Astyanax mexicanus: one gene and its partner. The protein of the gene in region 1 purifies or fractionates together with the protein of each later gene. This does not show direct contact. Links are inferred from orthologs where the notes say so. Each region holds a gene or a part of one and is shown on either strand. Other genes may lie near its edges. The genes, in order: tyrosine-protein phosphatase non-receptor type 12 and pstpip2.

What was found.
Region 2: the proteins of tyrosine-protein phosphatase non-receptor type 12 (region 1) and pstpip2 purify together in Homo sapiens (affinity purification with mass spectrometry; 4 studies listed by BioGRID and IntAct, counting the BioPlex papers as one, with this or other methods). This does not show direct contact. The link is inferred for Astyanax mexicanus from reciprocal best matches to the Homo sapiens genes PTPN12 and PSTPIP2.

The regions. Positions count from the first base shown.
Region 1 is NC_064409.1:36,011,319-36,027,899, forward strand, and holds the start of tyrosine-protein phosphatase non-receptor type 12, read left to right. Parts: upstream 1-8,767; 5' UTR 8,768-9,156; coding exon 9,157-9,255; intron 9,256-16,581. UniProt on the Homo sapiens protein: Dephosphorylates a range of proteins, and thereby regulates cellular signaling cascades. Dephosphorylates cellular tyrosine kinases, such as ERBB2 and PTK2B/PYK2, and thereby regulates signaling via ERBB2 and PTK2B/PYK2.
Region 2 is NC_064427.1:20,966,803-20,983,735, reverse strand, and holds the start of pstpip2 (proline-serine-threonine phosphatase-interacting protein 2), read left to right. Parts: upstream 1-7,795; 5' UTR 7,796-7,877; coding exon 7,878-7,910; intron 7,911-9,377; exon of another isoform or gene 9,378-9,419; intron 9,420-12,109; coding exon 12,110-12,210; intron 12,211-16,933. Other genes in the region: sub1a (SUB1 regulator of transcription a), read left to right, coding at 2,328-2,396, 2,481-2,603, 3,610-3,718, 5,551-5,630. UniProt on the Homo sapiens protein: Binds to F-actin. May be involved in regulation of the actin cytoskeleton.

The DNA of each region.
Region 1 (16,581 bases):
GCATTCCTGCACTCAGCTGCTCGCTCCTGTGTTCCTCTTACAGAGCATTCCTTTAGTCAGAGCTTTGAGGACCCACCCTTACACCACACACTGCTCTACATGCTCATACACACACACACACACACACACACACACACACACATACACACATCATACCACCCTACATTCCAGCTATAGAGTAATGACATACAAACCTACACCATCATATACTGTAGTTCTACAGGCTCCTAAACATACCACCAGTGAAGACTCTCACAGGAAGCTGCAGTATATGAAGATCACCAAAACACCAGCACACAACACACATACAGACGACTACTGTCCCTGTCATCTTGAACTGTCACCTGTCATCCTTTTGTTGTTGTTGTTGTTGTTATTTTTTCCACTATTTCCCAGCGGCCTTTTACATACTGGGTGGACAGTTCTAGTTAGATGCTGCTGGTTACAAGCCTTATTACCCACTGCACTGTCCACTGTGGGTAGTAATGACTTCTGTGATGTATAGATACCTCCGTCACTGTGGATCGAGGAATATTACATTTCCACACCAACCAACTTCAGAAATGGAATGACCTATCCACTATCAGGCCTTGCTCGACCTCATTAGCATGCTTACAAGTCTTGTTCAACATCTCTCACAAGATAACACCTCACAATTTATACAGGAAAGGGCATTCCCACATTGTACCACTTTATATATACCAAAGGTACCACTTTATAATCTATTTACATATTGCTATTTTAGTGTATTCCCGCGTTTTATTGACAGTCCTATATAGCATCATTTCTTTGCTAGAAACTTTCTTAATGACACATACAGATTCCTACTGTTGCTGTTGTTTCGAGCTGCCGTTCATTATCCATTTTTGTGTGTGTTGTATTTTTTATACACCATTTTGCAGCATCTTTCACTTTCTATAAATATTCAGTGTACATTTTGGAAAGCAATGTTTTAAATGGGAATTTCACCCCATTTTCAAATTTTGACATTTCAGCATATACCAATTGTTAAGATGGAAAATGTTAGCAAACGCATTCAAATTGGTTTGATTCATTGTAGAAAAGTGCATATTTTAAAATTAAAACCCACAGATCTCACTTTAAAGAAAACCTAATAAATCATTAAACCACCAATGTGTTTCAATTCAAATAGTGATAAAATTGAAAAAGGAAAAAGGTGCTATTTAGTTTTATCACTCTGTTTGTACCACTTCACCATTAATTGATTTTTAAAATAATGTTTTACATAAAACTATTTTTTAAGGACTAATGGTTCTATTTATTAACACTGTGAATAATTCTTACTCAGTATGTTTTTCTGGAATAAAGCTTTTAAATCCAAACCATTCTCAACTACTTTGTTTATACTTTTGATACTTAAAACATTCAATAAAAGGTTTTTCAACATTTCAGTTGTTGAGATGGATATATATATATATATATATATATATATATATATATATATATATATATATATATATATATATATATATATATATACATATATATATATATCAGTCAGAGAGAGAGAGACAGAGAGCGCTCAGTCAGAATCTTCACTCCTTTGTTTCTTTTGTTTGAATGTTGGATTATTTTGTTTTAAAACACTATGTTTGTACCCCTTCATCATAAATAAGCTAGTACATAAAGCTTAGTTTTATGTTATTTTTGAACCCTCTCATCCCTGTTTTAATAAATAGATCAAAAACCAATAATAAAAAACAATTCAACCTTTACAAATGACAGAATTTAAATTACATTAATTAATAACTGATGAGTGGGGTTAGGTGGCCGATGCAGGTGTGTGTATATAATAATAAAATTGAGTGTGTGTGTGTGTGTGTTTGGGTTTATGTATGCGTGTGCGTGTGTATTTGTTAGTGTCAACTTTATCATAAAGTTGTCAGACAGACCAACAAAACAACGCACAGATGTACTGTATGTATGTAAATCTAATGATGATTTCAATATGAAAAAAATATCTTTATCTATTCATAACTTCATAACAATTGTTAACACAACTTATAATCTTTCTTTCTGACATTGTTACACACAATTCTACACATACAGTGTATCATACACTGCAGTGACAGTACTCTACTCCAGCATATTGTTGATAGTTTGTAGTCCTCAGCTTCCTGTGTTCCTCAAGAGTTCCTCAAGAGTTGAAACCTCCTGTATGATAAAAGATTATATCTCATTACAATAATTCAATTTTAGTACAGTCCACTCACACAAGCAGTATCACAAGAATTCTACTGTTATCGGTTCTTCATGCTTCTTTGATGAAAAAGGGAGGCGGACAAGAAGATTATTGTTTGTATGTTTTATTGCATTATCATTAAAATGTGAGGTATTTGAGCTCTGACATGCTCTTCCTGAAAGAAATAACTACATGAACAGAGCAGACAGTGCATAATACCCCTCCTCCTTCTCTCTCTGTCTCACACACACACACATACACACACACATGCTCATACAGCAGGGTTGGGTCGGTGTGTGTGTGCTTGAATTAGATGATGGGTGGTGCACTGTTAGTCACCCTGCTAAATGGGCAACAGACTGGCCTACCCCACATCACTGTGGTACAGAATTCTGTCATCAGCATGCGCACACGCACACACACACACACACACACACACACAGAACATTCATGTTTCAAATGTGAACTTTCTCTTGCCTGTGGTAATAGATGTTTTGACAAGAAACCCTAATTGAATTATATTTCTCTTTTCAGACCTGTGATTATAACCACAAATCATACTTCAGCATGACCAGGACTTTCATTTTAGCATAACAGACTCTTAAAAATAAAGGTTTTTAAATGTTACTTGACTTGTAGAGGTGCAACGATTCATGAAATCCAGATTTCAGTTCAGTCCAAAACTTTGGCTGCTTAATGAGTGGCACCTAATCATTTTTCAACATGCATGTTTATAAAATTTGTGACAAAATGCTTTATTTTTCACATATAGCAAAAATCAGCATTAAAGCTTTATATAAACATTATTATATTAAAGTTAATGCACGTACGTTTTTGGATTTGGGGGATTTAGGGCCCTCTCTGGTGAGAATGGGTAATTGCACCGAGCATGCGGTAGAATTGTTTTAAACTGGGCGGGTGTGATGCGTTCTCCTTTCAAAGCAGATGAATCTGATTCCAGGTTATGTTCAGTCAGAGAGAGAGAGAGAGCTCAGTCAGAAACTTCATTCCTTTCTTTCTTTTGTTTTTACTATGAGTGAATGAGCTACTGAGCTCTAAGTTTCCTCTTCTGAAGTCTCCATTGCTCCACCAGCCTCTCACATTCAGTAAAACTGAGCCGGATCCTCTTTTAGAGGCTGTACGTGTGACGTGAGTACGTAAAGACGCAGGACGTGGCGAGAAGAACTCCCACGAAAAGTGACCCCACACCCCAGTTCTTAGACTGAATATATTAGGCTTAGCAGGGATGGCGGTTCCAGTACACTGATAAACACAATATTTTATCCCTTCTTCATTTAGAAATGCTTCTGCTTTCTGTTTAGAAACAAAATAATATGGACTGCAACCTTAAAAAGATTTTAGGAACTTCAAAATCACAGTGATGCTCCACTGATTGCTACTCTGGGCTTGGTATTTTGCTAATTGCACTTTGCAAAAACCTGTAATAATACTTTACCTCCTCAGTTCACATGCTTCTTTCTCTTTCAGTTATAGAATTATATTTCTCGTCTTGTTTTGGTTATCTATACTTTACTGAACTAATTGTTTTCAAGACGACTTTGTACTTTTTCACAAGGTTATTTATACTTTCTACTCCTTACATTTTAAAAATAGCTTTGTCACTCATATTTCATTTCAGCTTGTTTTTACTATGGCTTATCATCGATAATGATAAACCTCTCCATCCAGATAAATTGAATCTGATTGTGGTTGGATGAGAAGTATAAAAATATACATTTCTGTTATAAACTTCTACAAAACTACTTTTAAAACCCAATTTTTGTTTTTACTTCTGCCTGACTAATAAATGTCATTACTTTTCACACCTTTGTTAATCAGACAAGAAATCAGGCAGGTCTTTGTTGTGACGGTTCTACATAGAACTATGCTAGCTGCCAGTAGAACAGGCTTGATGTTGTTGGGGAAAAAAAAAAAGTGTGTGTATGTGTGTGTGTGTGTGTGTGTGTGTGTGTGTGTGTGTGTGTGTGTGTGTGTGCATGTACGTACACTGCAGAAGTTTTAAGTTGGTGAAATCCAGGCATTTCAGAAGTGTCCAAACATGTCAGCCTCCCTCCAACATCCCAAAGTCTTCCAAACATGTGTAAATCAAACTCGAGTGTGTGCTGGATCAGGCTGGCTAGGCCTTGTGTTGGTGTGTGTGTGTGTGTGTGTGTGTGTGAGGGGATCGGGGCCTGTGTGCTTAACTTTGTAGCTCTTACTGCTTGACCTGTTTCTGTTGAACTGTGAAAGCAGCTCTGCTCTTTCTCCTTCTCAGAGAGAGAGAGAGAGAGAGAGAGAAAACAGAGACAGAGAGAAAAAGAGAGAGAGAGACAGAGAGAGAAAGAGAGAGGTTCAAGCATATTGTGTCAGCTGCATCTCAGTGCTGGTTTCAGCCTGAGGGTTACTCGTCGACACAGTGATTCTAAAAGCCCGTAGTATTGCTATAAGCCACCATGTCACTTTTGGATGATATCTGTTGAAGTTATCTGTAAAAATAAAAACTTATTTAGTCAATATTTAGTTTATCTTTACTGTAACATACTGAGGATGATGCTGATATACAATATATAAAATTTTAGATAAGAATCTCAGAAAAAAGTACAACAAATGGTAACACCGTTAAACAAATTTCTATTAAACTATTGTACTGTAACTTATAGTCCTCTTTTTATTTTTTAGTTAACTGCAATCTAAATATTTATATACAGATTTATTTTGTACATTAAATATTATTGGCAGTGGGGAACAGGTAACTGTACACATTTTCTGGCCGGTGTTATCACACAGTCCAGTAGATTGGAAACACAAGGTTCAGGGGTCATTTTCTTTTAAGAGTTATTAGTGTCAAATTAAAAAAGCAAGCACTATCATGGAAAAATGTAAATGCAGTTCACTAACATGCAGAATACGTACCAAAATGAACTGCAAAACCTCTGTTACATTACATTTTACTGCATCTCTTTATAAAAAAAACAATACACAAGAATTTACATTTTCATAACCAGCTCACAACGCACAGGATTGTTGTCTTGGAGCAGTGCAGAATTTGTGCCAAAATGAAATGTAATCATGGTCCAATCAGAACCCACTACTGAACTTGGGGTGGGGCTGGGAAAACAGTCAGAAGGGAGCACTAATAGCTGTACTTTAAACCAGAGAAAATGTCTTTTGCGACAGGATATAAGAGCAAATAAACACTCTCAGTTTCTCAGTCCCACCCCAATTTCAGTAGTGGATTCTGATAGTTCTGATAGTGGGACAGTGATTACATTATGTTTTGGCATGAATACCATGCTGCTCCTAGACGAAATGCAATCCTGTGCATTGTGATTTGCTTTCGAACATTTGCAGCGCCACACTGTGAAATACAATGGCATTAATCTGATTGCATATTAAGGTTTGGTTGCAATTCTGACACAATTTTTTTGCGTATGGTAAATTTTCAATAAAGAGATCAAGTGCAGTGAAATATAATGTAATCTTCCAATTTGGCACTAATTTCTCTCCATAATTTACCAATTAAGCAACCAAAGGCCAGTTTTAAGTGTTCTAGTTCATAGTAGGCTAATCACTTCTAGTGTAATATTGGTACATGAGATGCAGTATCTTAAAGGTCATATACAGTATATCGTGCAGTGTTTCACCTTGTTCTAGCTGTCCATGCATATTCATAAATCCACCAAAGTATTGGATTCTGGTAACACAACTGGTTTCCAGATCAGCAACATGGCACATGTAAGAGCACTGAATCACATCTACTGATTGTGGAGTTGATGAGGATTGCTGTCAGTAATTGTTCCCCTGCATGGTTTTACAGGTAAACTGTACCAAATGTCTGAGCCCAGCCAGTGGGTACAGTTGACATACTGTAACTTGTCACTGCTGTTAATCTAGAAACTATGTGAACAGAATTAATGAGGACAAAAAGAAAAAGAAAAAAGTGTAAAGGAGAAATTCCTCAAAGTCTGGAGTCTGAGGTGTTCATAGTCCACCGTCTGAATTCTAATGCCCACTCTTTTGGTACTGTGAGAGCCCAGTGCTTTTGCCCGACACTGTGGAGGGGCAGCTGGCTCTTTGACAGCTTGGGTCCAGCGTGCCCCCACAAACCAGCCTGAATGGGGCGTTTTGTTGTCATTGACGGAGCCAGGGGAACCAGGAGCGCTGTTTCTGGTTCCTTATTGAGTCCAGTTTAAGCATCAGCTCTACTTAAGGGGATCTTGGCCGTCTGAGGCCGAGGGGAATTACTGATGAATAAGGTTCCATTTAGCTCTCGTGTGGTGATGATTCACTTCAGAGCTTTGAATTCACTGCATTTCCTATAAAACCAGGCCAGAGACTCTTTTAGAGAGTTAATATTTTCGTTAGAATGGGAGAAAAGCAAAGGATTTTTCTATAATGTATAGTGTAATAACTTTATTTAGCGTATATAATAAAAACAGTGCATCAGAGTTCGACAGGATTAGTTAAACTTGCTGTGTATGTCTAATCAGACAGAAGTATATTAAATCAGTTTTACTTAGCAGTTACTTAACAGGAACTGAAAGCACTGAATAGTGTAAAATACAAATACATTATTGTACACCATCTGCAGCATTTCCTGTAAAACACATAGTTTCAAGCTCTTTTCACATACAGTATTTTATGCTGTACATTTTATACAAAGAGTGCTAATAAATGTATAGCATGTGTACACAATGTACAATTATCTGTACAGACTCCATTTCTGAATATATTTTTTGGAATTAATATAGACTTTCATATAGGACATAAAACAGCCTTGTGATAACGCAGAGCTAGTTGTATTCAACAGTTCTAAATGGTCTAGTTGTTTTTTTTATATATATATTCTCCAAAATCACCTGAAATTTACTCTTTTTACATTGACTTCCATTGAAAGTGAAGAAGATTCTTTTTTGAAGATGTTTTTCACTGGTCAGCAACAAAAGATTGTTTGTATTCTATTCTTATAGCCTGTACTGTGGTCTTGCAGTGTAGAAATAACATTTACATGATAATTATTAATAGTAATATTGTTATTTGTGGGTAGAAACTTTCACCTAAAAGCATCATGAGTGTAGATTGAGAACCCTAACATTAAAAACCTTTAAATGAATGAAATGATTCAATTATTAATGCCTATTAGGCAATGCTAAATAAAGGTTGTTTTCCATCATCAACTTTAAAAGAATGTTTATTCAATGTAATATGCTACAAAAACAACACAGAGTGTCAATTCTAAAGACAAGTACAGAACAGACAAGGGTCATCATGCTTTTTTTATTATAAAGAGAATAACATATGAATTAAAAGTTAATACAGGGAGGGTGTTTTGGCATGAAAGTAGCTGAAATGACCTACCTGCATTAGTCCTTCATTATCTTTGGGGTCAATTTGACCTTGTTTAATGTTTAATGTCTTTAAATAAATGATATATGTATATGCATATTATATAACAATTTAATGTTTACAAATGAAGTTTAAAAAAAGATTGCGTATGTGAAATAGAGGCAGAGAAAGGTGTTCCCCTTGTGTGAATATTTATGAAGCGCATGCAAAACATAGAGTGTTCTGATTGGCCAATCGTTTTTTAGTGTTGGCGTGTTCAGGATCATTATGGCTCCCATCAAAACTCATTTCACCTCTGACTACTCTAAAGTATATCCATGTTTGGTAAAAGTAAAAAACAATAAAAGTCTTGCCTGCTGTACAGATAATAGTAATAGTGATTTTAGCAATACTCTCGGGGGACTAAATAATTGCAAAAGGCATGTTGAAGTGAGTTAATGTGATATATATCACAAGGGGGGAAGGGGGTGTCCAAGTCCAGGTCCGGGGGAACCTACGTGAAAATATTTTTTGCAACTAGGTTTGTCTGCTGTATGTATTGTATGTATTTAGCCCAGCTTAGCTTAAACTATTTGGTGCCTGAAAAAAGAGGTACATAATACACATAAATAAACCAAGTTTTGATCATGTTGAGTTAGTAAAACTCCCCGAACTCCTACTGAACCGCACTGTTGTGTACCGTGTGACACCCCTGAGCTAAACAATCTTAAACCCTGCTTTGTGAAATGCTCCCTCCTCCTCTCTGTGAGAATTAGCCTGAAGACAGTGCTGTTCTGAACACTGAACAGCTCCCTCAGCTCACTCAGACACAAGTAAAAGGCAGAACAAGCCCCGTTATATCTGACAGATCAATGGTGTTAATACTGTAAACACGACCTGGTTCTGGGAATCGACATTCCTGTTCTACACAGACACACACATTTTTCTGTTTCTCGATTATCCACACGTCACCCTAGCGGTGGGCGGACCCGAGCGAAACGCGACTGGAATCTGCGTGGGAGGGGCTTACGGGCTTTCAACCAATGGTAAACTTACTCAACTGAGCACGTGACCACCAGCCTTCTCTTTTACAGCCAGCGACTCGAAGCGTTCGCGTTAGTTTGATTGACACCGGGGCTGTCCAATCAGGCGCAAGCTGCCGTGGGTCACAATCCAATCACGGAGCGTCCTTCCCACTAGAGGGTGGCAACGTGTCCGAGCGGCTTTTGGGCGGTCCAGCCAGTTTTGTTTCAGAGTTTAGTTGTTAATGTGGCAGTGAGGAGACAGGGAGGGGCGAACCGGCGTTTTGTTTGTTGTTTTTTTATTTAGATACATTTAAAAAGTATTAATATTAACTGCTTGGTGCGTTAAAGGAGGAGTGGGGACATTGTTACCTACACCCTAAGACTGTAGCTTAGCTCACCCGCTTGGATTACATGTTGTTTTCTCTCATCCGGGAGCACAGGGGAGCATGGAGCGGTAGAAGATGTTGGAATAACTGTCAGAGAAGATTTTTCTTCTTTAAGATATTTATTTAATTTATTTTTCTATATTTTTTTCGTATTCGGGAGTAGTTAACGTATCTAACTAACCGTGGGAGCAGCAGCGCTCAGGGACCGGAGTTGAGGATGGAGCAGGCGAATATCCTGAGGAAGTTCATTCAGGGGGTTCAGGCCATGCGAACAGGGGACCAGGGAGGAGAGGACAACTTCGGCAGCGACTTCATGGTAAGAAGAAAGAGGAGGAACAAGAGGAGAGACCGAGACCAGCCACACTAACACAATAAATAACCTAGTTAATACATAATTAACACACACGATCGCACTCTGTCTCTGCTGGTTTAATAGTTAGTTAGTTACCTAGGTAACTAGTTAGTTAACTGGTTAGCTTAGCTAACAGTCCTCCACCAGTGTGAAGCTGCTTTTACAGTGCCCCCTTTTCTCTCTCTCTCTCCCACTCCAGACTACTGTTCCCTGCGCTGAAGCTTTGTACAGTCTGTACTGACCTGTAGTTAGCTAGGGTTAGTTAGAAGGCTCCGCGGTGTTATGTCCAGTTATGCTACCCATCGATACGTGCTTCCTAAAGGCAATGCGCATGCGCTGACCTACACCTTTTCATTATTTCTCGCGTTTTTAAATAATAAATCATTTTTTGTGCATTAAACAACCTGGACTCACTGTCATTACACAAACGTGTAAATGGAAGCGAATATAATTTATTCAATAGCTTATAATTATTATTATAAAAAAATATATATATTTATATAAACAAAAGCAGTTTCTAATAACCCCTCATTGCCATAATAGTGATTTATGCTATCCATATATACTAGCTAGCTATGTCTACTGGGACTTTTACTGAGAACATGCTGTAATAAGGTGCTTCTTTTATATTTTTACAGTTAAATATACACACCAGGGCAGCACGGTTTGACAAGGTAGCACAGCTCGACAGAACACCGGCTGCGGCCTACGCCGACTTAGCTGCTGTAGAGTTAACTTAACATAGCTTTTTCTGTAAAAGCCCTGTAAATGTTCCTCTATGAACGGTTTAATTTACAGGCTGCGACTTGTAGTTAAAAACCCTTATTGATGTTTCTCTCCTGACGGTTAGCCGCAGCTAGCTAAATGTGGTCAGAGGGAGAGATTTCTACATGAGTGTGAGTGTGCTGTTGGGTCACATCCCTTTCTTAACTACATACCAGCTGGGTTATTTAGTTAGCTTTTATTTAAAACGTCTCTTTAACGTGTACGACAAATTTGTAACCTAGCTAGCTAACAGCTAGGTTGGGTAGTTAGCTAACTAGTTAGCTATATGTGTAAGTTACTGTATTTTCCCAAACATTAGACATAAAGCTAGTTAGGTAGTAACCTATGGTTACACGCCACTGTGAAAGCCTCTAATATTAATACTAGTGAATATTTACAGCTGATAGCTAGTTAACTAACCTATATCTGAATGGAGAGCTTCTGGTATTAAGAAACTGCACTACATATATTCTGAATTTACGGTTATAAGATGGGTTAGGACTGGGAATAGGTAGTTATCCCGCTTGTCACTTTTCACGTCTAGAACGCCTTCTTTTTGCCACACTGCTCTACTCTCTCTCTCGGCGTGTTCAGGGCGGGTCATGTAGGTGAATACTGACTGTCAACACTGTGGAGAGAACATGTTTAAATGTCTGGCTAAAATGTTAGTCTGCCTTCTGTATAAACTGCCAGCTAAATCTCTGATGTTTAGGGTTTATTTGCACTGTGAAAATCCCGGTTACAGACTTTTGTTTGCTGGCTAACATTTGGACACAGCTAAGCTAGCAGCAGCAGCCGCTAACGTTAACAGCGTCTTTGTCCAAAACCAGCGCTGTTCGCTGGGAAGCAGCGGGCGGCTCGGGCTTGTTTCTGCTCTGTTTAAAAAAAACAGAAGACAGCTTCTATAAAGAAGTCAGCACGTATGTGTATTTTCCGGAAGATATGGACACGTTAATGGGATAGTTAGTTAGCTAAACGGGCGGTTTATGGGGGTCCAGCGTGGTGGTGGCGGCGGTGGTATGAGGGAGTTCCGCGGATGTTGCGCAAGGAGCTGAGCCGTTTAAGCACAGAGAGGAAGAGGAGGGTTTCTCACTCAGTCCAACACTGAAAAAAAAACCCTGAAAACCACTGAAATAAACACGATAAACTATTGATTCCAGAATATAACGTCAACATCAGGGATAGCCGAAACATTATACACGTGTGTCACGTTGGAAGGCATTTGTTTTAATTGCTTTAAGTATGGACGATATGGCCCTTAAACAATATCACGATATTTCTTAGTATTTTCGCGATAACGACACTTTTGGCAACATGGCAAAACACCGAATTACAAAATTATTTCAAGAATACACTACTGCAACAAAATGAAAATCAATGATTCAGAATGTTGTGATACTAATAATGCACTACAAATATCTCCACATATCCAAAACTGAAGTAAAATAAATTATACTGGACAGATATAATCTGTCTATAGTAGATATATAATGGTAAATGAGAACAGTGTGAATTTTTCTTTTGCTAAAAACAGCAAAAAAGTAGTACCCTGATGTGATAATATTGGCAATATTATTGCGTACCATACAATATAGCAAATCCCTACTTTAAATGCCTGTACTAATCAACTAGCGTAATAATCATGACTGTAGACTGTGACTGTAGTCACACAAGTCATAATAACTAATGTGGGGAATATAGGGATATCCCAGCTGGGATCCAGACAGTTTGACCATGGTCTTGTCCATGTGGGTCCCACATATGGATGACTGATTGGACCATGAATGGTTACACATGGGCCCCATTTGGGAGATGCACTGCACACACAAGCTTAAGGTGGGCTATAATGCTGGGACCCATTTAGAATAAGCATGATGACTGGGACATTGGTATATAATAGCTATGACATGACTGTAGAATGGCTTAGGGTCCAATCAGGGACCCAGAACCTATTAGGACTGCATTAGACAGTAAACACTTTTTTATAATCAAAAATATATAATTTTAACATATTTTTATTGTGGTATATACAAAAAGAGACCACTTAAAATGATGTGTTTCTTTGATTTTTATTGAAAACCTCCTGAATATAATCAAGAGGAAGATGGATGACCACAAGCCATCCAACCAAGCTGAACTGCATGCATTTTTGCACCTGGAGTGGCATAAAGTTATTCAAAAACAGTGTGTAAGACTGGTGGAGGAGAACATCCTGGGATGAATGAAAACTGTGGTTAAGGTTCGGGTTATTTCACCAAATATTGATTTCAGAACTCTTACTTGTTTTCTTTGCATTATTTGAGGTCTGAAAACACTGCATTCTTTTCTCATTTTTCGCAAATAAATGCTCTAACAATATTTATATTTGGAATTTGGGAGAAATGTTGTCTTTAGTTTATAGAATAAAACAACAATATTCATTTTACTCAGACATATACCTATATTTAGCAAAATTAGAAAAAAATGATTTAGAAACTGAAGTGGCCTCTTAATTTTTTTGCAGAGCAGTAAGTTAAATTATTATAAATTATTGTCCAGCCAAATTATTGTCTTTTTGTTAAGATTTGCTTGATTCAAAATACAGAAACCTGTAGAATACCAAGATAGTCCTGATTACTGTATCCTACGAAGGTATTGCTGCTGTTGTCAACAGATATATGAAAGTGTGTTAGGCCTCTGTTTTTCTCTTTTGAGAAGTTAACATGCTGACCTGTAATGTACATTTGGGGAAGAATCTGTTGGTGAAATTTGACTTAATGTAACTTCCTGTAGGTTGCTGTTGCACATACTATACTATGTTGCCTTCCTTTCTGTATTTATAGTTTGTTTAAAAAGTCCATAAATATGTGCTTTCCACAGTTGCAGCTGGGCAGTATTTTGCAGTGGGAGGTGGGTGGGTTATTTAGTGACCGCGATGCCTTTTTAAAATCATTTAGTGATGCCATTAGATGAACTCTTATCTTACATTTTCCATTTATAACTTCTAATAACTTCAACTCTAATATGGGGTTTTGTACTGAAAACAGGTATTACATTTACACAACATCCCTCATTAATTTGGGGCTTTGTGTCGTCCATTTCTGCACAGTTTTCATGGTTCTGTTTATTTCTTTACATGGTTCATGTCCAGAGAATTGTGGATAACCGAAGGCTAAGGATGCATTAGTTGCATCCTGTAATTTGCTTCTTATGTTAGCTGCATTTCTTAGCTCTATATGAAAGGTCCTTATGTAAAAAGACCAAGTTTGCATATTTTGACTTCTTTTTACTGAAAAATGATTGGTACGTTTCATATTTTTTCCTGAATATACATCTTTTACCATAAAGAGCACATTTCAGGTTTTAATGATACAAATTCTTTAGGAGTTAGTGAGAGAAGTAAACTACTGTATATGGAAATAAGTATTGGATCACTTGCTCATTTATTGTTTATTAAAAAGAGTATACTGTTTTGTTGGAGTAACAAAAGATTTTCTATTTAATTTTGGAGCACAGCTGTGTGGATTTGGTTGCATTCAGTGACGAGATCAGAATTGCCACTCCAACTCATCTCTATGTCTAAAAACACATCCCAGAATTACTGGATGGAGCACCATTATTCTAGAGAACACTGCTCCACTGATTTTCTCTTCTCTACTTCTCTAAAGGGACTAGGTTAATTTCGTTGCACATCTGTGTCAGCAATGGGTGTCTGAGCCTACTTAATTTATTTTTATTTGAGGGTTTTCACACTTTCTTCTACAGCAGTCTCTTCATAGTCCCTCTGAGCATGAAGGGAACTGAGTCGTACAGGGTTATTAGTTTATTAGTGCTATTAGTCTGTACTGAGCGATGCTATAGACCCCCTCTGGTTTACAGAGCAGTGTCACCCTCTTCATACATTTAGCACTTTTTCTTTCCCGCTGTCCTGACCTCTTAAGGAGTGAGACAGCTTTGATTCACAGACAGCTGGACAGTGGAGGGCTTGGGTGCGACAACAGTCTGGCTTTGTTGTGTTATTCTCCTTGTTTGCTGATTCAGCCGCAGGGTGTGAGTATAGCCATGGCTTTAACATTAGAGCAATAGAGTGTAGAGTACAAATTTCATGTTCAGTATTTACTTGTATTTATTTGTAATTATTATTTTGAGAATTGGTGTGTTTGTTTTGTGAGTGGACAGGGGTCTCGTGCAGGCATTGTGTGTAACAGACAGAGCCAGAGGGCAGAGTTCACACACATTTGTGTCTTGCTGCTCCTCCTGGGGGATGAGTTGGGGGAGGGGGTGGAATTGACTTACATCTGAGCCTACATCTGGTGTGTGCAGTGCTAGAAATGAGCTTGTCCAGGCTGCCATACTTACCCTTACAGTAACCAGGCCATCTTCCATCATAAAGAAAACTCCTTCCAATGGTTCTTTGAGGTCTCATGGTTCCATAAAGAACCACTGCCTTTACTACAGACAGTTTACCAATTAACATTTTCTCACATTTCTCACATATGCCTCACTACCAGAATCCAGACTTTGATCCTAGTAGCACATTTACTATCGGAATGCCTAAATATACCTATTCCTAAATGATACTGTGGCAATTTAGACCATTTTTTATCCAAAAATCTTAAGCCAGGAAAAGTTTAAGGCCTATGTTTTATCACAGTATATTTCTTATATTACAGTATAGTTATGAAGTCAATCTGGGCAATACAAAATCACAAAAAAACAGTCAAGAATGCCCACAATGGATGTCCATGAGTATGAAGTTAAGAAAAATAAGTTTGCCAACCCTGGAACCCTGTCAGTAACGCATGCTGTAAATAATGTATTTTAAAATATCAGAAAAGTGTATAAAATCATGGAATCATGGAACTTTTCTATTGTGATATGTTTTGATATTAAATTATTGTCCAGACCAAAAAGACCTGTCATTTTAAACCACTGAGGGACAGTTTCCAGGACGTTGATTAAGCTTAATATTGGAATAATTGACTCTATCAGTGAATAGATAGACCAGGTATAGACCTGTCACGATTTTTGTTTGGACAATATATTGTGTAAGAAAGAATTTAATTACAATAGTATAATAATAACATAGCATCATAATAACTACACCCTCAAAAACACAAAGAAATTATATATTTTTTTAATACATAAAGTCACATACCAGCTGAATATAATGTCCAATACTGAGGTCAACAGAAATGACTGAGGTCATGTATATTAATATTGTATGATTAAACCTAGTTGTGATCTAAACTGCAGTATTGATGCTGAAATAAGTCTAGTTTTTAAATTATTATTATTATTGAATATTATTATTTTTTTTAAGTTTAGCTTTGGACTAAACTGAAATGTGTGATGTTTTGTTTATTGAAGAACTTGTACCCTGCTCTGCTGAACAGATAAATGTCCGAATTATCACTGCTCAACTTGCTTTCTAATGCTCAGAATTCCTCCTAGCCACCATGGTCACTACATCCTAAATGAGACCTCAGGCTGTCAGACTGCAGAAGATCAGGGAAATGAACTGTTGTCCTATTTCCAAACATAATGAGATCTGTTCTAACGTCTGGAATGTGCTTTTACTTCAGATGAGACTGGCATGAATGTAGCTGCTTACTGTAAACACTGACACCAGGAACATTTCAATATGACACCACTGCGCCTCTGTAATTCCATCATGTGCTGAGCTGGAAACACCCTGTCTGCTCCTCTAAAAGCGGCGGGTTATGCCAGCTCAGTAGTGAATTGGGGCTAGACAGGCCAGTGTCTGGCAGCAGAGCTGGCCTGGTTCTGAATGATTTTAGAACAGAGCAAAGCTGCTTAAGATGGCAAGATTTGGGCCACTGTATAAAATCAGCATTAGTGCCAACTGTCAGCATTGATACTGCTCTCTGATAGGCCCTCTCTCTGCCTTTCTGAGAGGATCAACTGCGAAACAGCAGTTTTGTAACTTGGCATTATGCAAGTGCCACAAAGTGTTTGTGTGTGTGAGTGAGATCAGATAGGTCAAACATTACACAAATGTGGTTTGAGAGCTATTGAACATATAAGGAGGGTTTTTATATCCCTCGTGCAGCTTCATGGTTAGTATCAGTTTGCCACCCAACCAACCCAGGGTTATGGTAATTTATTTTGAAGACAGTCAAGTTACAGTTGGTTTCACCTAACCTTGTTTAAGCACAAACACAATCCTTGTCCAATTCACCATGACTTCATGAGTTAAACTACTGCTGGGTGGTATGGCCAAAAATGCATATCACTGTATTTTTCACGGTATATCACAGTATTGTTTTTTTTTTTGTTATTATTTTTGCATGACTGGGCTTTAATATAGGTTTGTGAGTTACTGTACTGTTAGGAGTACATAAAATATAAAACACCAAGGCTTTAATTTAAGGCTTTTAATACTATTGGGTTTACTTTGTCCAACAAAATTACACAATATATGAAGAAATCAGACTTTATTAGCAGAAAAACAGCTGAAGAATATAAACAATAGGCCTTAAAAAGAGATACGCCACCAAGTTTAACGCACCTGCCTTTACAAAA
Region 2 (16,933 bases), on another chromosome or scaffold:
GCGATTTTAAGGCCCGCGCTCCGGTCTGACCCCTTTCATCTTTTACCTTCACGAGACACACTGTATCAATATTCACCTTCATCTTACGGTTATTAACGCAGCCGCTCGCGCTCAGTACCTGCTGCCCTCACTGCAGGTGTTACATGTGCTGCAGATGAGAGCGCGCGCTGCTCAACGGCCTATATTAGCGTAATTGCACTATATAGTCAAATGTAGGGAGAGTTTTTTTGCGTCGACACGCCCACAATCTGCCCAAGTGATTTGAACGTTGGGTATACGTTGGCTGCTCACTTGGAAAAAAAGGTTCTATATAGTGAGGAAATACGTCTTTGTTGGACCATACAGAAATATTACAACTGTCTTTGTAATTATAGATTCATATAACCAGTTAAACCAGTTATGCACTCATATTTACTTTATATAACATTTTAATGAGATCAAATTAACATGAAGTCAGCGAGAGTGTCTACCTGTAATAAACTCTATAATATTACAATTTATAAACTCAAATAAACATAAAGTCAATGAAAAATCAGTGAGAGTGTGTACCTGTAATTAACTCTATATAACATTTGAATTTATAAAGCCAAATAAACATAAATTCAGTGGAAAGTCAGTGAGAGTGTCTACGTGTAATTAACTCTAAATAAAATTACAGTACAAAACCCAAATAAACATAAAGTCAGTGGTCAGTGAGAGTATCTACATGTAATTAACTCTATATTACATTAGAACACTAAACCAGAATACACATAAATTCAGTGGAATATCAGTGAGTGTCTACCTGTAATTAACTATATATAACAATAGAATTTATAAACCCAAATAAACATAAAGTCAGTGAGAGTGTCTACCTGTAATTAACTCTCTATAACATTAGAATTAATAAACTCAAATAAACATAAGGTCATTCTAAAGTCAGTGAGTGTCTACCTGTAATTAACTCTATATAACATTAGAATTAGTAAACTCAAATAAACATAAGGTCATTCTAAAGTCAGTGAGAGTGTCTACATGTAATTAACTCTATATAACTATAGAATTTCTAAACCCAAATAAACATAAAGTCAGTAAAAAGTCAGTGAGAGTATCTACCTGTAATTAACTCTATATAACATTATAATACTAAACCTAAATACACATAAAGTCAGTGGAAAGTCAGTGAGCGCTTCTACATGTAATTAACTCTATATAACATTAGATTATTTAAACTCAAATAAACATAAAGTAATTGGGAAGTCAGTAAGAGTGTCTACTTTTAATTAACTCTATGTAACATTAGAATCTATTAACCCAAATAAACATAAAGTCAGTGGAAAGTCAGTGAGAGTATCTAATGTAATTAACCCTAAATAACATTAGAATTTCTAAAGCCAAATAAGCACAAAGTCATTTTAAAGTCAGTGAGAGTGTCCACCTGTAACTATCTCTATATAACATTAGAATTAATAAATTCAAATAAACATAAAGTTTTTAAAGTCAGTGAGAGTGTCTACATGTAATTAACTCTATATAATATTAGAATTTCTAAACCCAAATAAACATAAAGTCAGTAAAATCAGTGAGAGTGTCTACCTGTAATTAGCTCTAAATGACATTATAATACTAAACCTAAATACACATAAAGTCAGTGGAAAGTCAGTGAGAGTGTCTATGTGTAATTAATTCTATATAACATTAGATTATTTAAACTCAAATAAACATAAAGTAATTGGGAAGTCAGTAAGAGTGTCTACTTTTAATTAACTCTATGTAACATTAGAATCTATTAACCCAAATAAACATAAAGTCAGTGGAAAGTCAGTGAGAGTATCTAATGTAATGTCTATGTGTAATTAATTCTATATAACATTACAGTACACAACTCAAATAAACATAAAGTCAGTGGTCAGTGAGAGTGTCTACCTGTGATAAACATCTATATAACATTAGAAAAAAGCTAAAGCCAAATAAACATCATTATAGTCATTGTAAAGTCAGTGAGAGTTTCTACCTGTAACTATCTCTATATAACATTAGAATTAATAAACTCAAATAAACATAAAGTCATTCTAAAGTCAGTGGGAGTGTCTACATGTAATTAACTCTATATAACAGTATATAACTATAATAACTCTTATATAACTACATTTCAAACAGTGCATTGGTATATGGTAAAGTCTTTCGGTTGGTAAAGTTTTAGAGAGAATCTGATGCACACCTTTGTTTCACAAACCAATCAGTGTGAAGGATAAAGAGACTCCGCCCCTACGTAGGTGATGATGAGAGGATGTAGCAGGTTGACAGTGTTTTACAGTGATGTTTATATTATCTTGTCTCTCCAGAAAATGCCTAAATCAAAGGAAGTGCTGTCCTCCTCCTCCAACAGCGACTCGGACAGTGAAGCCGATACGAAGGTACGTCGCTGATGATCTGTAGCATCAGTGGATCAATAATCTGATCACTTCTGATTGGTTGTTTGTTCGTTTTATCGGTTTCAGGCTAAGAGGAAGAGGCAGGCGACGCCGGAGAAATCCTCCAAGAAGCAGAAGAGTGGAGAGTCCTCCAAAACCTCCGGCTCCTCCAAAAGCAGCGGCGGCAGCAAAAACGACAACATGTTCCAGGTCAGGAGTCTTCATTACTGCATTACATTACTGTTATATTGTAATTGTAATTACTAGAGCTGTCAAACAATTAAATGATTACTTATTTAATTGTTTATTTTAATTGTTTTATTTGTTTAAATTTGACTAATAGAGTATAGATATTTTCTGATTCGATTCAGGCAAAATTAAACAAAATTAAACTAGATACACAGTGTCAGTCAAAAGTTTGGACACATCTTCTTATTAAATTTTTTTTATTGTTCTTCCTACATAGTAAATGAATAGTAAAGTCATCCATACTACTATCTGGGGAGCTGTTAATTTGCTGGTAACTCTAATGAACTTATCCTGTACAACAGAGGTACTTCCTGCTCTTACTTTCCAGGGGCGGTCTTGATGAGTGCCAGTTTCATCCTTATAACGTTTTTGATGGTCTCTGCGACTGTACTTAAGAACACTTTTAAAGTTCTTAAAATGTTTAGAACATTACTTAAATAGAGCTATTCACTGTATACTAACTGTGCCTCTTCACAACTTTACAACTGATGCATAAAGCTGACTGAGAAAATGCAGAGATGTAAAGAATGTAAAATATAAAACATATTCTGGTTTATTTAACACTTTTTTGCTTTAATAAAAAAATGTATATGTTTTTCTTTATAGTTTGGATGACTTTAGTATTAATTTGCAATGCAAAAAATTAAAAGTAAATTAAGCAGTGCCCAAATGTTTAACTGGTACTGTATAATCATAGGTGATGACAGAGACCCCCCATATATTTAAATAATTAAATTTAAACAGAAAATAAATAAATAAATAAAACAAAAAATATATTAAGAATAAAAAAAAAAACAGAATAAAACAATACAGAGTTTATAGTCCCTAATTTTTACACAGTTTCTCTGCTTCTTTTAATGAAGTTCGAATCAGAAATAATGAATATTCCTTAGTTATTATTATCATCATCATCATTAACAGCTAAAATATAAAACTGGTCCTGTCACACTTGTCTATTTTCTCTAAGATAGGGAAGATGAGATACGTGAGTGTCCGAGACTTCAAAGGGAAGGTGCTGATTGATATCCGTGAGTACTGGATGGATCAGGAAGGAGAAATGAAGCCGGGGAGGAAAGGTATCTGACCTGTTACTCTTTACTAACCACCTGTCGAGGATGTTTCTTTTATTTGGAAAGGAGAATTAAGTATTTTGCTTAAAATAGCCTAAAGTGGTCTAGCGGTCTAAAGCGCTGCCATTATGATCGGGAGATCGCCGGTTTGAATCCCAGTCATGCAACTTGCCATAAGCTGCTGGATCCTTGAGAGAGCACAATTGTTCTTGCTCTCTCTCTTGGTGGGCATAGTAGATGGAGCTCTTTCTCCTCATCACTCCTAGGGTGATGTGGATCAGCACAAAGCACAAGCGTCTGTGAGCTGATGTATCAGAACTGAGTCGCTGCGCTTTCCTCAGAGCATTAGCGCTGTGATGATGCTACTCGGTAATGCTGAAATAAGCAGCAGTTTAAAAAGAGGCGGAGTCTGACTTCACATGTGTTCACCCTCCTGGTGTTGTGGCATCACTATTAATGGGTAGATACAGCTGAATAGCAGCTGAATGGTGGGAAAATTGACCTAGCTAAATTGGAGGACAATTTGAAAGTATAAATAACCTAGAAAAGTAGAAATAATTAATAAAAAAAGCCTAAAAAACTTAACTGTATGTAAGTATTTATGTGTAAGTTTTTCTTCAGTAAGGCCAATTTATTCTTCATCACTAAGTTAACTTGCTGCCTAAGGTGTAGCCTGTGTGAGCGCCCTACGTAGCTGTCTGCTTCCTCAGTTTAAACCACGAAGACTAGAATGTGTGGGCTGTTCAGATGTATAAATTGGCCTTTAAGCACTAAAGACACTGTACTACTGCTACTGTGAGCTGATTGGCTGGTTGGTGAGCTGATGCTGGAGTTACAATCAGAGCACGGATTTTAAAAGCTTTATTACTAGGAGTTTTAAAGCTTTAAGAATTTTAGAAACCTTTTATTTTGTTCTGTGTTGAGGGATGAGTACAATATTTTAGTTTAAAATTATTAAACATTTATAAACTGTAAAAATGTTGCTCCATTGTGCCATATGAACCCATTTATTTTTAGACTTACCCAAGAGCGACCTCTGGTGGTCAAACAGGTCTGTAAGAGACCCTGAAGTGAGTCTTATCCTGTTGTCCAAAAGCATTTAAAAAATAAGGGTACCACTTTAAAATAAGACTACCTTTATAGGGTTTATAAATGGTTTAGAATTAGTTTATTAATATTTACTAATTAGGTTGCAAATGCCTTAAAAATCCTTAATAATCAGTTATAACACATATACGTAGAAAGGGCAACAATGACCTGTTGTTTGCCAAAAAGTGAACCCACAGCCATCTTCAATGTTGCCCTTTCTACGTATGTGTTATAACTGATTAATAATGATTTTTAAGGTATTTACAACCTAATTAGTAACCATTAATAAATTAATTGTAAACCATTTATACACCCTTTATAAAGGTAGTCTTATTTTAAAGTGGTACCAAAATAAATGCATTAAAAAAAACATTAAAAATGCTAAACATTTAATGCTCATCAGATTTTGTACTCGTCTTTTATATTGGGGAATTTTGTGCAGTTTTGATATTTAATTTTATTTGATCTTTTATACATGTAGTTTTCATGTTCCTTCATTTCCTAAAAATGCTCTTAAATTCACTTTGCATGCATATGTTTGTTTAAATTCTGTAATAATTATAAGAAAATATGGGTCCTGGACTAAGACCAGTTTAAAAACCCTGTATTAGAGTTTCTCTAGAGTTTCCCAACAAATGCAGGATAAACTCTTTTTAATACCCTTTGATTTCAGAAGTACTAGTGATCGAGCAGCTGTCCCAGTATTATAGTAATTTGTTGGATCTGTCTGTGTGTCTGTCTGTTCTCAGGTATTTCCCTGAACCCAGAGCAGTGGAATCAGCTGAAGGAGCAGATTGATGATATCGATGAAGCCGTGAGGAGAACATAAACACTCCGGGAGCCGACGCCGCTGTCTGATCTATTCATTCCCGCTCCGCGCTTTACCCACGTTTTATATAAAACAGATTAATAATAATCCATGGAGAGTTCTAGAACTGATCTGTACCTGTGTTTTAGATTAGGCCGATCGCTGTGTTGAGTTTACTGTTCCTTTTCTTTTCTACTGACCGCGGTCCTCATAACTCCGTAATGATTTTGTGGATGAGTGTGTTTGTGGGGGGTGGGGGTGGGGGGAATAGCCTGTGTTCACTTTTTACAATAAAGTTGATGGAAAGTTAAAAATAATCACCAGTGCTTCAGTGTTTGTGTACTTACTGAATTAGAGTAAGGGAAAGTTTTGGGTGTGTCCCAAATCAATCTTTGTTCCCTTCACACTTTCTTCAGGTAGTTTTTTTAAATTATACTATTTTAAGAAACTACTAATAATTCCATTTCCTTACTATGTTCCTCACAGTGGAAACTGACAGGTTAAATCTCTGAGACAGCTTTTTGTATCCTTCCCCTGAACAACTATGTTGAACAATCTTTGTTTTTAGATCATTTGAGAGTTGTTTTGATGAGCCCATGATGCCACTCTTCAGAGGAGATTCAAATAGGAGAACAACTTGCAATTGGTCACCTTAAATACCTTTTCTCATGATTGGATACACCTGGCTATGAAGTTAAAAACTCAATGAGGTTACCAAACCAATTTTGTGCTTCAGTAAGTCAGTAAAAAGTAGTTAGGAGTATTCAAACCAATAAAATGATAAGGGTGCCCATACTTTTGCACCGGTCAAATTTTGGTTTAATGCATATTGCACATTTTCTGTTAGTACAATAAACTTCATTTTAATCCTGAAATATTACTGTGTCCATCAGTTATTAGATATATCAAACTGAAATGGCTGTTGCAAACACCCAAATTTTTACAACTAAAAATGATTAAGATTAATAGGGGTGCCCAAACTTTTTCATATGACTGTAAACATAATACCATCTCTTGCAGTGTGACAAAAAGCAAATCAATAATTTTGAGTATATGTATGTATAAATGCTCATTGGTATTTAAATTGTGGGGAACTGACACCAGTAAATCCATAATTCCTGCTATTTACTTACTTAGAAGTATCTTGTTTCTCAGTGGCATAGTCACTGTGAAGGGTGGGGAATAGTTTTGTGATATATTTATTATCGCTGAATCGCAGTTTTGAGATATCGCTGTTATCATTAATTTACCACAGCTGAAAGGTGCTGGAAAAACTTAAAATGGGCCTTGAAAATGCTTAAATTTTACATTGTAAAGGGTGTATGAACCATGAATATTGTATTTTGCTATACAAAAGAATCCATTTGATCAGGGTCCCGGAAAAAAAAAAAAAACATTGCTTAGGGCCCCAGAACTTCCAAATCCGCCCCTGCCCACAGTAAATGTGTGCAGCAATCAAAGCTTAAAGGCACTCCAACCAAATACTAGACCAGGGGTGTCCAAACTTTTTTTTGGGGGGCCAGAGGGGGCCGCTTTTAGACTCTTTGGCCCGTTTTTCTGCGCTAGAAATGCGCACCCTCTCCGCTTTTAGACTCTTTGGCCCGTTTTTCTGCGCTAGAAATGCGCTCCCTCTCCGCTTTTAGACTCTTTGCCCCGTTTTTCTGCGCTAGAAATGTGCACTCTCTCCGCTTTTAGACTCTTTGGCCCATTTCTGACACCTAGCGTTCAAACTTTGAATCTCACATTATAAAAACCTGCTTAACAGCGGGCCAACTTTCATTCTATTTCTAAAATACCTCTCGGGCCGCTCCAAAAAAGGAAACGGGCCGCAAATGGCCCGCGGGCCGTAGTTTCGACACCCCTGTACTAGAGTGTGTGACTTTTTTTTTGGTGACAATTTTTTTTAAGCCAGGCTGTGTGCAAAAAAAAAATATGCCAAATTGAGATCTATCTTTTGGTCTTTCCTCCAAAACAGTTCCAGATTATCATATGGCCACACTTGGGAAAAAATTGCCCCAGACTGAAGTGCACTAGGTAGGGCACTAGGCCTCAGTTTGAGACACACCCTTAGTATGAGCTGCATTGGCAGACTTCAGCCAGCAGGTGGTGGAAAGGTGCAGCAGCGTACAGTCAGAAGTGAGAAACAGCGCCACCTGAGGCCACATTAACTTCTGTATAACGTGTAACAGTAGCAGCAGGAGCAGCAGTAGTCAGTCCAGCAGTCTGCTCCAGCCTCTCACACAGCTCACATCTACCGGCTCCAGCACCATGAGAGACCTTCACTTTAAAGACAACTTCTGGGTAAGAACTTTATCCACCATTTACTCACTATTTACTGCTTACAACCTCTTTATTATTTAATATAATCAACATACAGTGCTGTAAACTAGTTAAACAGGCTGCCTGTATCTTAGAGGAACCTCGGCATATTATTAAAATACTTATATATACTTAATTAGTAATAGATATATCCACTTTATTATAATCTGAGAACTTTTATCTACAGTTTTTTCTGCTTTTCACAGTATAGAGCTGTTTTTCAAGGGAACTTCCTCCCTATACATAACAGCAAAACCTTTTTGTGGTCGCTTTCCTCAAACCAACTGTCATAATCTTATTTCACAAAAGAGGTGGTTGTTTTTTAATGTATATATGAAACCAGTTATTATTTTTTTATTATTTAAAAATGTTCTGCTTTCAAACTATTGAAAAAAACATATGAAATTAATTAGTATACAAATTAAAAAGTGGTAACCAAACCAGAATATGTTGAATATTTTACATTCTTCAAAAAGTAGCACCTCTTGCTTAGATAGAGACAGTTTTGCACATCTCTGCTGGATTTTCTCAGTCAGTTTTATGAGGTAGAGTCAACTGGAATTCAGGCTTTCAGTTAACAGCTGTGCTGAACTCATCAAGAGATAATTCCTTGAATTTCTTGTCTCTTAATAAAGTGTTTGAGAGCATCAGTTGTAAAGTTGTGAAGAGGTGGAGTTACAGGTATACAGTGAATAGCTCTATTTGAGTAATGTTCTAATCCAGATTATGAGAAGCAGAATTAAAGAAATAATTAAAGAATTAAGAAAGAAGTTAGTCAATTTCAAAGCCAAAACGTTTCAAATTTTGTGCAGTTCCAGCAAAGACCATAAAAATACTTATAATGATAATAATAATGGGGACCACCCCAGGAAAGCAAGAGCAAGAGTTCCCTCTGTTGCACAGGATAAATTTATCAGAGTTACCAGCATCAGAAACTAAAACATTGTTTTTACACATATAGAGGAATAATAATAACTTTCACTTTTAAGATCATTGAATTTTGGCGTTTCAATTATTATTCATTTAGCTCTGATCTCAAAAACATCAAGCTATTTACGCCTCTATGTCCAAGAATTCTCTGTCCATCCTGTCATCAGACATTTGTTAGAGGTAAAAAATACAGGAAAGGGTATTTTTATGTAGAACACTGCTATGCAAAATTAACATTTAATTTGTGTAAACTTGACAGATTATTATTGTAATTTAGCAGTGATTTCAATCACTGTAAATTAATTTACATTTTTTTTCAGTAGAGTTATTTACTTATCGTCTGTAATTTTAACAGGAAAACTCTGGTAACCACAGCTGCCAGCGTTTTCCTGTAAAAACTACAGTTTTTTTTTTACAGTGTAGGAATAACCCTGCCCCTTTAAGAAACTAACCTTTGACATCAGTGACATCACAAATAATATTTATACTGTTTTATTCTATTTTCAAAGGACTGAAGACACTTGCTGCTGCTTGTTTAGCAGTAATTGACAATAATTTACAGTAATTTTATGTAATATTTCTCATATTGTCTCCATACTTACAGTAGTTTAAACATGTAAAGTTTAGGCTTAAGTTTAGGTCCTTCATGTCCCAGTAAAATATCATTGTTGGCTAAAAAAAAATCCTTCAAGACGGTTAGCTTAGCTTATTTTAGGACATGCTAGCCTAACTTATTAGTGCCAGTTCCACCGTTAAAATCTATAACAAACAGTGTAATTAACTTTCTAACTAATTAATGTATGTATGTAAGCTATTAATTGTTGGTCAGTAGAACGTTTTCTGAACAATGCAGTTAGCTAACATTCTTAGAATGTTATAGTAAATCTGTCAAGTTTTCTGGATGTTCTTAGATTTTTTATGTGTTTAAATGTTCTGGTAACATCACTTTTAACGTTTTTACTTTTAACGTTTCCTTAAAGTTAGCATTCGACCAGCTGGGATTACTATTATTATGTCAAGCATTTAGAACATTTTTTGGAACATTATCTCTGTATTTTTACAGTTTATTTGTCTTGAAACCTTTTCAAAACGTTTCTAAACAATCTTGTAAGTTGTTCTTGTTCTTTGAATGAATTGACTTCTTGGAGGAACTTCAAATGGATTATTAGTAACGGATAACTTAGCTAGCTAACTAATTAGTGCCAGTTCCACCATTAGAATCTATTAAAAATACCTTAATTAACTAATTAACTGACTGTCTAACTAATAAATGTATCTTGTAATTGAATACTATTCTTAACAGCAAATTATCAGCTGACATGACCTGTGAGAAGATCAGAAATGAATTATCATAACAGGTAGTTTAGATACTACTACTAGTTTAGATACAACTACTAACTAATTAGTTCCAGTTTTACCGTTATAATCTATAATAAAAAGCTTAATTAACTAATGAACTAACTGTCAAACTATTTAATGTATCTTGGAATTAAATACTATTCTTAACAACAAATTAACAGCTCACATGACCTGTGAGAAGATCTGAAATTGATTATTAGTAACTATAATAATATTAAAATTCCTTAAACATTTTTTTATTAAAAGTGCAAGTCAGTGGAGTTAAGTTTGGTCTAAAGCTCAGACAGTCCAGGCTTCATTATGTTGCTTTCTAATGTTTTGGAAAGTGCTATTAGTCTGTCTAAACCTTTATTTTGACACATGGCTAATGCTGGCTGTGGCTGCAGGCCTGTGATTATGTGTCTGGCTGCAGGCATGAATTACAGCGCTGCTAGAAGCTGCTGTGGATAATGATAGCCAAACCTACAGGCTGGAGTAGGAGAACTTGGCTAAACTGTAGTGTTTAGACTGCTGTACAGTGGCTATTTCCACAGCGCTGTAGTAATTTAACACCTAATCTAGCGGGCCGCTGTGTCTGGGAGGATATTGTGAATTATTTACTTAGTAAGGGCCTATTAAAAGCAAAATTCCTTGCTTTGTCTAAACATTAATGAGTGTAATGTTGTTTAAAAAATATGCTCAATTCATATGGATGTATGGATATTTTTTAAACTTTAATGCATATTTTTTATAAGGCAACAAAAACCCAAAAAACAGTGTAATAACTGTATCCACATACTCAGTTTAGCCTCACGTACCTACTCACTAATGCTGTTATATGATGCTTAAGTTGTAAGGAGTGTTTCAGCACATGTTTTGTATATACGTTGTGTGGAGTTATCTTGTGAGTGAGCTGTAAAGGCAACATGAATTATATAAGTAACCACTGGTTAAAATATATTACAAGGAGTTCCTGTAAGGTCAGTCAATCCAAAAACATGTCAAATTTTAACTTAGAAAGTATCTTCAAGTGCAGTTGCCACAAAGATCATGAAAAATGTTATAATGATGAAACTGGCACTCATCAGGACTGCTCCAGGAAAGCAAGAGCAAAAGCAATTAAAGGACCAATGCATAAAATGAATTAAAGGACCAACCACTGGCTGAAATATTACTAGGAGTTCTCGTATGGCTTAACCCAAGGATAAAGTCCCGCCTTTCAACAAAAAGAGCCAATCTGCTTGCTGCTTACTCTGCGACTGGAGATCAGTCTGTATGCTAGTAAGCACCTCCTCAGTGAGGAGATATGCGCAAGTGCAGTAGCCAGAATAAGAAGCCGAATAATCACGTTCTGTGCATTTTATAGCCAAATGCTAGTCTAATGCTACAAACTGTTAATGATGTTATATTAGATTTTATCAGTGATGTAAAATATGTTTTTAAAATTATAATCTTATCTGTGGTTTGGAGTATTTTGATCTCTTCCAATTTTAACATATTGGGAGGCTGGTCTTGGGTTACTCATAGGGCCCTTACTCTTACCCATACAATTTAGCTCCGCCCACTTAACTGAAGTTACAAGGACTGTTTCACAAAGGATAAATGAGTGTTTTTTTAGTTTATAAACCCATAAAAACACCAACACCTAGGACATTTAGGATATTGGCTCTTTAAATCTATGATTTAAAATATTTTTAGTTCGTAAAACACATTAGAAAATGTGTTAAAAGTGGACCTTGTGGTATAAAATACATACAATTGAGAAAAAAATATAGGCTAAGGACCCTTTAATGGTGTGTCAGTATGGCAGTATGTGCTGATGTATTGATTATTAATGATCTGCCGTGTTTGTAAAAGGAGTTTGAGTCCAAAGTTCACTAAAAATATCTTTATTTTCTTCCTTATGTGGACAGAGCAGTGAAATCACCAGCACAGCAGGATACGACGCCATCATCCAGCACCTGAACGATGGGAAAAAGACGTGCAAAGAGATCGAGGACTTCATGAAAGCCAGGTGAGAACCAGCATCATTAATAGTCATCAATCAATAATCATGTAAAAAATGAGCATTTACCACTGCAGTTCCAAAGGTTTACTAAATCAGGGCTAATTATTATGAATTATATTAGTAAATTGTATGCATAAAAATAGACCAGAAAATAGACGTTTATTGATAGTGTACCTTATAATCTGGTTCACCGCATAGTGCGAAAAATTCACTAATCTACAGTTACAGTAGATACATAATTAGGGCTGCACAGTATAGGGAAAAATCTGCGCTGAGCACTCAAAACCTGAGAAAAAGAGCAAAACAACAGTAATCAGCCCTTTAATCAGCCATTTAAATGGCTTTTTAAAAGGTAAAAAAGTGCGTTTTTCTGGGATTAAAAGTGTGAATTCAGCTATAACAGGAAATATCCAGACTACGAATAACTCTAATTAGAAGTTGAAAATGCGATTTTTTTATCTGGGCTGTGGTTTGCAGCACCTTTCACATCTGCTATTTTGGTTTGGACTAAACAAGGTAGATGTGAAACATTTTTGAACCTGGTATGGAGAACATTGAGAACCTTAGTCTTAATTATGTGACTTATTTTAGAGTGAGTTTGGAGGAATTAAAAGTCGAATTTGCGGAGTGTTCCTGTTTAAAACTAATTTTTAACTGTATTATAAACGTGATGACCTTTAAGTTGGCTCAGTTCTGCACCCCAGCACTTTCAGAAAGCGCTTTTAGGGAAATACAGTCATCTCTCGCTCGTCTTTAAAGAGAAAAAAAGCATATTCAAATGGCCAGTCTTAGCACAGGATGTCCTCTTTCTCACCTATAAATTATTTTAGGTATTGTTTCCTCTGGTGTCACAACAAACAGCAAGAGTAGCCAAAATTACGTAGACTATGTAGATAAAACTGCCAAAAATATTCGCTCGAATGCCTTTGCATGCATATGAACTTGAGTGACATCCTATTCTTAACCTTTAGAACCCTGCAGACGTATTTTCCGTCCAAAATCGCACCTTGTGTTCTCAGCTTAATTACTCAGGAATCTCTTCACACTTAAACATAATCCATATATGGTTAGAAAGGGTGGAATTAATCTTTTTAAAAATAGTGATGCAGTGCGGTAAAGTATCTACAAGAAACCCATTGAGAAAAACATTTAAAAAAGTGAGATCTCCGTCCCCCAACCAATATTATTTACCTTTAGTGCTTCAAACATATTTATATGATGTTTCAAACCAAATAATATCAGTAAATAAAGACTCAAAAGTGTCCCACAGAAAAAGTGTGAAACTACCTGCTTTACCCAAACTAAAGCTAGATGTGACACTACTTTATATAGCTTTTATTTTACTAAGTAGTTATTTTGCACTAATCATTTTTATTTATTTGGACTAAAAAGTTTACATTTTTGTATATACAGTAGTTTTCTTTGTGTGTCCTGATCCTCAAAATGCTGAGGATGCCTGCTGATTTAATGGTTTTTAATGTTTTTTCTTATCCTGTTTTTATGTTTTTGTTTGTTGTTTTTTTTTTAAGTGTTACTTATTTGTGTTTTATGTCAGGCCATCACTGTAAATAAGAACTTGTTCTTAATGATCTGCCTGGTTAAATAAAGAAGAAAAAAAAAAAAAAAAAAAAAAAAAAAAAAAAAAATACTGAAAGGCACAGGCTGCTCTGAGTGTCAGGTTTTTAGTATCTATATGTATCCTAGAGGTGTGATTATCAAGAAGAATAACTCCGCCTGATGCTGTTTCTCCATGTATTTTGTCAAAGTAATAATTAATAAGCCATGCAATTAACTATCATCAATATTCTTATGCTTTCAACTCATAAACACTCTAGTCTAACCATTTTTAAAAGATATCTTAGGTGTGAATATATTTAAAGTCTATACATTCAAAAATAAGTAAAAAAAACAAAAAAAAAACAAGCGCTTGGTTAAATTTTGACCAAAACATGATCAGTTCCAGGAAAATATAACAATTCTGCTTCCTTTTACATTTTAAATGATTATATTTTTGAGCAGCCGTATGTCTTCTGGAGTAAAAGAGATCAGGACATGTGTCTGTCTGATATAATTACTGTGTTATAAAACCTGAAAGAGGAACTGACAACAAAAACGAAAAATAAACACACCAAAACAAAAAAAGTTCAAAAAGTTCATCTATAGGGTTTAATAGGATGGTGGTCCACCTATTACAGCTATAACAGATTCAGCTTTTCTAAAAAGGCTTTCCACAAGGTCTAGGAGTGTGTTTATGTGTTTATGGGAAATTTTGATCACTCTCATAGAAGTGCGTTTGTGATGTCAGACCCTGATGTTGGAGAAGAAGGTCTGGCTCGCGGTCTCTATCAGTTTTCTCTCAGTTTGAGGAAGAGATATTTACATGAAGTCTTTTTTTGCACGCCCAAGTCAAGTGTCAAGTCTTTAGTCACGAGTCTCTAAAAAAGGTAAAAGTGTCATGTCACTTCTGCTTATAATTAATCTTCTATCGTCTTCTGCTAAAAGATTGCTCTGGTGTTGCTCTCTTAGATGGTTACCATGTTGTTGCTGTGTGGTCGGTATGATATTCCAGGTGGTTGCCATGTCGTTGCTATATAATTGCTCTGGTGTTGCTATGTGGTTGGTATGTTATTCTAGGTTGTTGCCATGTTGTTGCTCAGTAGTTGGTATGCTATCTCAAGTGGTTGCCATGTTGTTTCTATGTGGTTGGTATGGTATCCCAGGTGGTTGCCATGCCGTTGCTAGATGATTGCATTGAGGTTGATTTCTGGTAGATATGATATTCCAGATAGTTGCCATGTTGTTGCTAAATAATTGCTCTTGTGTTGCTATGTGGTTGGTATGTTATTCCAGGTGGTTGCCATGTTGTTGCTGGATGATTGCTCTTGGTTTGTTAAGTGGTTGGTTTGTTATCGCTTGTTGTTACCATGTTGTTGCTAGGTGATTTACCTGGAGTTGCTATGTGGTTGATATGCTATCTCAGATGGTTACCATGTTGTTGCTGTGTGGTTGGAATGCTATCTTAGATGGTTACCATGTTGTTGCTATGTGGTCGGTATGATATTCCAGGGGGTTGCCATGTCATTGCTAGATAATTGCTCTGGTGTTGCTATGTGGCTGGTGTGTAATCCCACATGGTCGCCATGTTGTTGCTAGGTGATTGCTCTGGGGTTGCTATGTGGTTGGTACATTGTTCCAGGTGGTTTCCATGTTGTTTCTAGTGGTTGATATTCCATCACAGGTGGGTGCCATGTTGTTGCTAGGTGATTTTTTCTGGTGGTGCTATGTGATTGGTATGCTATCTCAGGTGGTTGACATGTTGTTGCTTTGTGGTTGATGGGTTATCCCAGGTGGTTGCCATGTTGTTGCTAGGTGCTTGCTCTGGTGTAGCTATGCAGCTGATGTGTTATCCCAGGTGGTTGCCATATTGTTGCTAGGTGCTTGTTCTGGTGTAGCTATGTGGTTTATGTGTTATCCCAGGTGGTTGCCATGTTGTTTCTAAGTGTTTTTAGGCTATCCCAGAAGATATATCTGGTGTCTCGTTACAGATGACACTGAATTTAAAACCATAAAGGAAAACTGTAATAAACTACTTTATTTAGCTCTGAATGTAAGAAAAGTGAAATTTAATTACACTTTATTATTGTCATCATTATTATTGCTTAAACAAAAATGAAGTAATTGCAGTTTCCCATGATATGAAGTGTGTAGCGTGTTTTGTTATATTATGTAAGTATATGTTTTGTAAGACTTGTGTAATCGGGGAGCGTTTTGAGGTCAGGGCGGTCAGTGCGTCTGAGATCTGCTGGTTCTGGTGATGGAGAAAGTGAAAGCAGCTGAGCTGCAGATTAAGGCTGAATTATGCGGTCGGTGTCAGCAGGGAGATTTCCCCATGGAACTTCATATATGAAGCAACACAGCATACTGTACAAAACACAAGTACCGTGCGGCTTAATTTAGGGTATCAGTGTGTCTTTGCTATTGTAACGACTGGAAAAGTACACCTTGCGTGACTCGAAACGAGCAAAAGGCATGTACTAATTATCTTAATTAATCATAGGTGTGGTTAGTTTTTGGCATTATGTGAAATAAATCAATCAGCGTGTCACTTGCTCATCATTCTCTTTAAGAGCCAGGTGAGCTCTGACTTTGGCGGATTGCTATTTTAACGGCGCAGCTATCTGGATGTATCCAACGCTTTTCAACAGAGGAAACTGACACATGTGAAGTCAGACTCCGCCTCTTTTTAAACTGCTGCTGCTGATGCAGCTTTACCGAGGAGCATCACAGCGCTAATGCTCGGAGAAAAGCGCAGCGACTCGGTTCTGATACATCAGCTCACAGACGCAGCCTTGTGCTAATCAACATCACCCTAGGAGTGATGAGGGGAAAAAGCACCATCTACTGTACCCACCCAGAGAGAGAGAGCAAGGAGAATTGTGCTCTCTCAGGGCTCCAGCAGCTGATGGCAAGCTGCATTACCAGGATTCGAACCAGAGATTCCCCCCCCCCCAAAAAAAACACCGTATTTTGTTTATTATTATTAGGTAAGCTGCCATCTCATTATTTTGAGATAGTAAGTAATTATTTTAAGATACTAAGTCAATATTCTGAGATATTAAGTAATTATTTGGTTATACTATCTCATTATTTTGAGATAGTAAGTAATTATTTTAAGATACTAAGTCAATATTCTGAGATATTAAGTCATTATTTGGTTATACTATCTCAT